Caenorhabditis elegans: one gene and its partner. The protein of the gene in region 1 interacts with the protein of each later gene in a pairwise test. Each region holds a gene or a part of one and is shown on either strand. Other genes may lie near its edges.

Region 1 (3,792 bases):
GTTTTAAAATGTAGTATTTGTACTCAAACTTCCAATTATTGCAGAAGAAAAACGGAAAAATCCGTTAACATTCAGCATTTAGCCGTTGAAATCGACGAAAGTGGCTGAAAGTGGCTGAATTTGAATTTCGCGCGCAAATGAAAAGCAACCACGCAACTTTTAGGTCATATTCGTAAACAAAATATTGATTTAAATGTAATTTTTTCGAACTTTAATTCGCTTTTCTTTCTCAAAAAGTTCAAGAAAACTGGGAAGAAGAAATTGTATTGAGTATTTTTTCAAAGGACAATACCAGAACAAATAAAAATTCGAAAGATCGTCGTGGCCTAGGATTTCTCTAGTTAATTTTTGAAGATTTTTTCGACTTAAAATGCTGAATCTAAACGGATTTTTCCCGTTTTTGTTTTGTAATATTCTTAAGTTTGAGCACGAATACTACATTTTAAAACAATTTTCCCATTGACGATACTCCTTCTTTAAATGATTTATTTTAATTCTTACGTCATGATAAAATTGTTTCGATGTCCTGGTTCAGCTTGCTTCACAATATACATATCGCCACTATCAGTGATTGTCATGGAATTTACTAAAAAAAAATATATTTTAAAAAATGTTTTATACCAGAAAAACTTACATAATCCTTCGATAAACGACTCATGAACAACATCTCCATCAAGTGAAATTACTCTTAAAATTGTCGTTCGATCAGAGAATTCAGCTGATGTGTAGATTATCTGTAAATTTGAATAATTAATAACTTAAGTGAAAATAATTTATTGTACCCTGTCTTTGTACGAAATTACTTGTGGAAATGGGGCCATTTTCTTGAAGAATTTCTTGTCTTCGTGCAGAGTTCGGAGAGTTTTTCCGTTGAATTTATATAAACCGCCTTTTGAAGCTACCTGAAAAATGAATAATTTTTAATTGTTGTTGTTTAATTATAATATACCCATATATTGTTGTCTTGGTCGTAAACAACGTTATAAGGAACTCTTGCCCCTCTTGGCTCCAAATGAAGAAGCATTTCATCAAATCGTTGATAATCACTGGTGTCTGACGGTTCTTGGGTCATTTTTATGCTGAAAATTGAAAATTTATTAGATAATTTATCATTATATTTAGCAAAAGAAATGAGAGTCAACGATTAACTAAAAATTTAAGAGTTTTGCGCAAGAGAAGTGTCTAAAAATCAATAAAAAATTTCACCATACCCAGCTCGCTGCGAGACCTCAATCAATAATTTGAATGCACTCCTTTAAAACCACAGTAATCGGCGAAGTGAATTTGAATATTATTAGATTGAACAACATTTTCAAAGTGAATTCACATTTAAAATAAAGTGAAAATAAAGAAGATTTTGGAGTTAAACATGGTTTAAAAGTGGGAAAAATGTTTTAATTTGAACAAAAATGGTTTTTGAAAATAAATCGATTTCTCAAACATATATTGTGGAAATTGGAAAATCTACAGTACCTAGCATTAAAAAACTTCTTTTCCGCTACTGATTTTAGATTTTTAGATATTCTTTTTTCTTGACTATATTGTTTTACATTGAAATAATTCATTATTAATTATTATAATATCTTTAAAAATATGCCTGCAAATAGAAACATGCAAGACTGCAAGATTTGGAAACGTTAAATAAAAAATTGAGGGAAAAAGATTATTCAATACAAGTAAAACCAACTTTCCATGGCCGCAAAAAGCGATGTTTGGTCTTATTTTTTCAATTTCTCTTCCACGGCCACCAATTCAATTATTCTCTTATCGGCAACACTTGTACAAGGTCGCCATCTCAATGACAATCCGAACGGAATTGAGTAAAAATGTATGCAAATTCGGCCATGAGAGTAGGAAGATGAGATAGTGTAAGAAAAATGGAGACCAGAGGGGGTTGAAGACAATGAGTCACACCTCATGTTGTATGTGTGCGTTTCATCTTTGTCCGTGTTCCGACACATTTAAACATTAGTTTTTGAACAAAAAACCTCATTTTCTTTTCAATTTCACTTTTAAATACTTTCCAATTTTCAGATCAAAAAAAAATAATACAATGACAGCATATGGTCATATGCCAGGAGAAGCAATTGAATGTTTGTCAATTGCTGTTGAATTGCACAAACAAGAAGTTATTGATGCTCATGGACAAGTCACAATTCGAGTTGGATTTAAAATTGGTGGAGGAATTGATCAAGATCCAACAAAAGCGCCATTCAAATATCCGGATTCTGGAGTTTATATCACAAACGTCGAATCAGGATCGCCGGCGGATGTGGCTGGATTGAGAAAGCATGATAAGATTCTGCAGGTAATTATGAAATTTTTAAGTTTTCTTTTCCCAGAGACAAATGATCAAACTTTCTTGCCAACATATACATTGTTAATTAAGAGTACTGTAAACTTACTGCCGAATTTTCATCGATCTTGCATAGTTTTTCTCATGAGTTTTTGGAAATTTTTGTGTTGTTATATTTCAAATAAATAAATATACTTTCATCAAAAAACCATGCAAAATCGATGAAAATTCAGCAGAAATGAGAATTTGAAATTACAGTACTCTTCTTAGGCAATATTTTCTCATTCAACATAAATTTGCGTGAATTAAACTGAAGTGAATTAAACATTTGGCCAATTAAAAAATTTTTGGTAGACAAACTCAAGAACGTTCGAACATTAGCTTAACATAAGTTTCCAAAAAATTGAAAACTCCTCAAAATTTTTCTAGATGATATTGAGAACATCCTCTAACAAACGGACACCCCAACTAAATAATATTCTCTATTTTCAGGTCAATGGAGCAGATTTCACAATGATGACTCATGATCGAGCTGTGAAGTTTATCAAACAATCAAAAGTACTTCATATGCTTGTTGCAAGAGCCGATCTTCCTCCTGTCAGTCTTCATTAACTCAATCTCATTTGTTCCGTTCACATTCAAACTTGCCCTTTTCAATTATCTCTCAAACTCAATTCTGCGCATATATTTTGATATTTATCGGGTTCAAAAATAAAAAATTTTACTTTTTTGACGACACAATGCATCATTTGACAAGAAAAATTGGTCATTCGTGTTTGGAAAAATGAACTGAAAATTTCATAATTGCCTGTAAATTTTTATCATACAAAAATGAATTATTTCAATGTAAAAAATAAAGTAAAACAAAAGAAATTATAAATCTGAAATCTGTCGCAATAAATTTGTTAAATTAAAACATTTTTTCCACTTTTAAACTAGTTGGGATATTAAAATCTTTGTTGCTTTCACTTTATTTGAATTGTGTATACACTCTGAAAATGTTTTTAAATCTAAATAATGAATTTCAAATTTACTACAAGGATTACTGTAGTTTAAAAGGAACACACGTGATTTCACTTGATGGATTCTTGGAACAAATTCAATTGTGTAAACACAGAAAAAGTGATGTACTAACAAAATGTAGTATTATATGCAAATGAAACTTGTAGTACATACTAAAGTCTTCTCGAATCATCTCGAAAATAATAAAATAGTATTTTTTAAAACTTTTAAAAACTAGAAACATTCAATTTTTATCAGAACTCTGAAATTCAAAATTAATATTATCTTCATCATCGGATGAATCCATAGTTTTCCCTTCTTCTTCATATAATTTCAGCAAAGTTCTCTCTTTTTGTTTTCTTTCTTCCGTCACTTTTTCTAATTTTTCCATTAATTTCGTCATTTGAACTCTGCAAAATCTCGGTTTTTTCTGTTCCTAAAACTTTGAAAAACTAACTCTTCTCTCCTCGAAAAATTGCGATTTTCGTCAATTT
Region 2 (4,566 bases), 5.1 Mb from region 1:
CATTTTTATAGAAATTCTCCCAAAATTCCAAAATTTTTTTTTGCAAAAAAGTGCAGTATGTAAAAAAATGAATTGAAGATACTTTAATTCAGGTATTTTAATTCAAAAATATATAATTATTTTAAATATTTAGTCAGATATTTTTCTTATTTTTTTCAAGAAGTTTGATCAAGTATTCTGTCGAATTAGCTCTGTTATTTTTCTATTCTCTGGCACTTGCTTATTCATGATGTTGACGAACAGCTTTTCGGTGATTTGCAGAAAAAAACGTTGACTAATGGAGAATGTTCCGTTGTTTCTTATTTGTTGTGGAACACACAAAAATTAAATTAAAAAATAATTCAAACATCTAAAAAAAAACTTCAAGAAACGAATTTTTTAAGCACTATAAGCTTTAAATTTCATATTTTAATAAAAGTAAAAATAATAACCTTGGTTCTTCATTATGTTTATAAGTTCTGGGCTTTAATGCCCAGCATATGTGAGGGTTTGTTTCCAAATCTAGGCAAAAATAAAGTAAATTTTTGCATAGGACAGTCACACCAAAGATGTCAAAAATAAATGGTTCATATGAAAGCAAAATATGTCATGCACGGGGGAGTAAATTTCACAGGAAGAAAATTTCGAGAAAAATATGAATGCGGAAAGCATCACAGGGTAGCTATAGTTACATTGTACTTGAGTATTTGTATTTTTAAACAATTGATGTCACACTTCTTGCCACGTTTCGTTGAGTTGTTGGGTGATAGCTTGAGATGCTTGTCTCACGCCATCCTTTACGAGAACCCTGGAATATGTATTTTGTAGAATTGAAATCCAGAGGTTTTTTGAGAAACTAACATTAATGATGAGAACTCCAGAATTGGTGAGGTGACTTCGAATAGTGTCTAGATGAACATCGTCCGGGATTGAGTACTTTCTGAAATAAAAAATAGATGTATTTTTTAAAATCTTTTAGCGGGAATTCAAGTTCTGGGAGAAACACTTATTGGAAAATTCAAAAGTGATCAGAAAAATTATGGCGGGGAATTCAAATTGTTTGTCTTTCAGGAGGAACTTCTGGAAAGTTATCAACTTTTTTGAAATTTTGAAAAATTATTGGATTTTTCTGGCTTTTTAGATTTTTAGAAAGTAAAACATCAAAAATTTATGGAAGATTTGGAAAACTTCTGGAACTCTTTGGTAAGTGCAAACTATTGGCGATTGATATTTGGAAAAATGAATTAACCCTAAAAAACATCCAAGCATAACCTACCTCGAAAAACTTCTTCGAAGAGTATGTCCATCGCCAGTGGATTCAAAACGTTCTCCTGAAATGCTCAACGTATCATCTGTGAGCACAACTTTAATCTCTTCTGGCATAAAATGGAAGACGTCGATTTCAATTGTGAATCCATGGCTAGTATTCGTAATTTCTCCAGCTCCAGCAACAGGTCCTGGTGATCTCGGTCGGCTTTCTGTGATCTAAATCACTTCATTTTATTTGATTACTTTGGCAGCGCACTCGGGGGAATGGGGGGCTGACTAGTTCTGCTTTTGAAAATGAAAGTTGAATTCAAAAATTCATGTTAATTTGAAAATAAATAAGAATTTATAAATTCAATCCTTTGAAAAGAATTATGTTCAAGGTTTTCGTAATTTGCCAAAAATTTCAAAAATTGGAGTTCTTCAGTTGTTACAATGGAACCCTTTCTTATTATGGTCGTTTTTCAAACTCAACTTTGCTACATTTTGACTTTAAATTTTAAAAAACTTTAGAATTTATTTGAAAAGTGTTATATACCAAGTAAGGGATTTTTAACCATTCTCCTACTGCCGATTTCCTACTACGATCTTTTGAATGATTATATCTAGTTACTGTAGGTTCAAAAAACCCCAAAAAATTGGAACATTTTCAAGCTTTCAAATTAACAATTCGTATGATTAGTCTTTTAGATAAAGTTAATTTCTGTTTTGAATCTAGTTCATAAATGCACTATGCACTTTGAATTTAGGTGCAAAAGCGGTTTCATTTGCTCTATTTGCTCACATTTGTTTTTGAAGGTAAATAGAGATTGCCAGAAAATTTTCCAACAAAAATTGTTGAAATTTCTTAATTTTTCAACCGCTTGAAATAGGAAAAAAATTACACGCTTCTAAAAATGGCAATATGCCAAAACTTTGGCTGAAAATTTTGCAAATACTAAAAAAATTTTGGCGTGTTTCATTATAATATTCGGTCAAGTTAAACTATTATAAATGTATTTAGAGTAGATCCTCGCTAACGATTTTCCTGTTCCTACTTTTTTTCGGTAGTGAGAAAATGCCTAGAGTCGTTACCTTTGTATAATAGCTATCATAAGATTGATCTGGAGGGCCTCGATGGGTACTGAAAAGTTTATTCAATCTTAAATTTAAACTTTGAACTTGAAAGTTACGGAAAAACGGTCTCCTTGTAGTTAATAGGATATCCATAAATCATATTAGAATGTGAAGAACGTGGAAATACACTGATAACATCTCCAGGTTTAGATGAGAATATTTCAGAAGCAGACGGCTTTTCAGACCAAACAGAGCCTTCAAGATAACTGTCAAGATCATCATCATCAAAATCAACATGATGCATGTTTCCAGAAAGAATAAGTGAGAGGTAACTAGGTGCTGCTTGACATGTGGAAATAGAGGAATAAGAGAAAAGCGAGAGAGTACACGATATGGCGGAGATGTATAGGAGATGAACAAACAACAAAAAGAAATAGAGAAAGAAACGAAATATAGAACATGCCTCACTTTCAATATACGTGAAAATTGTTTGAAGCGGCGCCTCGTAGTTGTGGAAACAGTGAAAACCGCGCAGCTACTACCTCGTTTATTTTTTTGAGTGTTTGTATGTATGTGTGTGTGTGCGTTTCAACTTCCTCTGTCAAGTTTTGAAGTTTTTTGAATAACCGGAAATTAAATGTTTCCTGGTGAAGTCCACTAATGATTTATGGCGTTTTCATAAAGTGTGAAAAGTTTTACGGAAATTCTTGTTTTAGAACTGAAGCAGAATTGTAGTCAGAAAATGTGGCAATTTTTTGTAGGTTTCCCTAGAATACATTAAAATGATAAACCATATGATAATCCAAATTTGAAAGTTAAGAACAAATCTAAAAATTAAAAACTTGATTGTTTCGAGGCAAAAATACACTAGAAATTGGAATCGCAAAGATGCAGACACTACAAAACAAAAGATGCAGACACAAAACAAAAGATGAAGACTACTACAAAAGATGCAGACACTACAAAACAGTCTCGCTACAAATTAGTTGACGAACTTTAGAAGTATTGCCAAAAACTGCATGGAACATTTTTTATTGAAATATCCAGTTATTAGGAAATTCATATTAAAGTTTAAGTATTTATTACTATACACACTGAATGAATATCATTATAAAACACTCTGGAAACTTTTAAATGTTAAAAAATTTCCAGTCAAACTTTTGGAAATGTAGAGCTTTTTAAACCCCTTCAATGTTTAAATGCAAATATTTGAAGCAATATAAAATATAAATATTGTAGAAAAATTATATGTTGATCGACCAATTATTGTTTTAATTTAGGAGTATTTTTATTTTTGCAGATTTTCTTCATTAATAATTTTTAAAGAGTGATTCAGACTATTTCAATTACTTCAATTATTATTGTTGACCTTTAAAAAATTAGCTTTAACAATTTAAGTAACTAACCTGACTTTGTGAAACGTACTGCTTCTGAGGTTCCCGTTGTACACTTCTACTGTATCGCCCAGTCATCTGAAATTAAATATTTATATTTCTAACAGATTCACACGATTCAATCCTAAAAGAAAACGGGCCGTGACCACTTGACACACCTGTTTTGTAGGTATTGAAACGGTCACTTGCACTTTTATAGAGAATGACATTGCAGGGGGGAGAGAAGAATTTTTAGAATATTTGTTTTGTCAAAAATGAGTTAGTGAAACTCGGAACAGAAGGTCATATGACATGAGAAATCAGGAACGAAACAAAAATTGCAAAAAAATGAAGACACATGACGGCAAGAAACTTTTTTTTTTTTAAGTTTTCAACGAAAGACCGGAAGGGAGAGCAGAAATTTTTTTTGAGATTTCTGTGTACTTTTTTAAAACTCACGAACTAATTGATAAATTAAATTGGAAAGGAGAACAAATAAATATTCCCAATTCCGTGTTTTTATTGGTTTTGCTTCTATTTTCTGACGAGTCGGAAATAGGTATAAGCTACGAATTTTTTTTTAATTTCAAAAAAAATATATTAAGGTTTTTTGGTTTTCTAGTTTTCTAAAAATTAGTTTCATTTTGAAAATTAAAAAAAAATTTAATTTTTTAAAAATTTTTTAATATTTTGGCTTTGCACAGAAATCCAAAAAAGGATCTAAAGTGAGTATAGCAAAAAAAATTATGACCCAAAGAATCAAAATTTCATCTCTTAGAAAATTTGCTAAAATTTCTGTTTATTAGGTTTTTTTAGTTAAAGAAAAAATATTCAAGCTATTGAAGGTGAGGTTCTAACTTTTAATGGCGTTTTTCAAAACCCACTGTATTTT

The links.
Region 2: the proteins of txbp-3 (region 1) and ZK1128.7 interact in a two-hybrid assay, tested with the Caenorhabditis elegans proteins (2 studies listed by BioGRID).

What each region holds. Positions count from the first base shown.
Region 1 is NC_003281.10:5,045,404-5,049,195, reverse strand, and holds txbp-3 (Tax1-binding protein 3 homolog), read left to right. Parts: upstream 1-2,034; 5' UTR 2,035-2,053; coding exon 2,054-2,308; intron 2,309-2,788; coding exon 2,789-2,908; 3' UTR 2,909-3,020; downstream 3,021-3,792. Other genes in the region: vtip-1 (Vha Twelve Interacting Protein), read right to left, coding at 502-586, 635-734, 783-902, 950-1,072; C45G9.14 (uncharacterized protein), read right to left, coding at 3,543-3,708, 3,756-3,792. UniProt on the Caenorhabditis elegans protein: May regulate a number of protein-protein interactions by competing for PDZ domain binding sites.
Region 2 is NC_003281.10:10,135,111-10,139,676, reverse strand, and holds ZK1128.7 (SHSP domain-containing protein), read right to left. Parts: upstream 2,672-4,566; 5' UTR 2,606-2,671; coding exon 2,418-2,605; intron 2,369-2,417; coding exon 2,320-2,368; intron 1,465-2,319; coding exon 1,256-1,464; intron 920-1,255; coding exon 841-919; intron 788-840; coding exon 695-787; 3' UTR 553-694; downstream 1-552.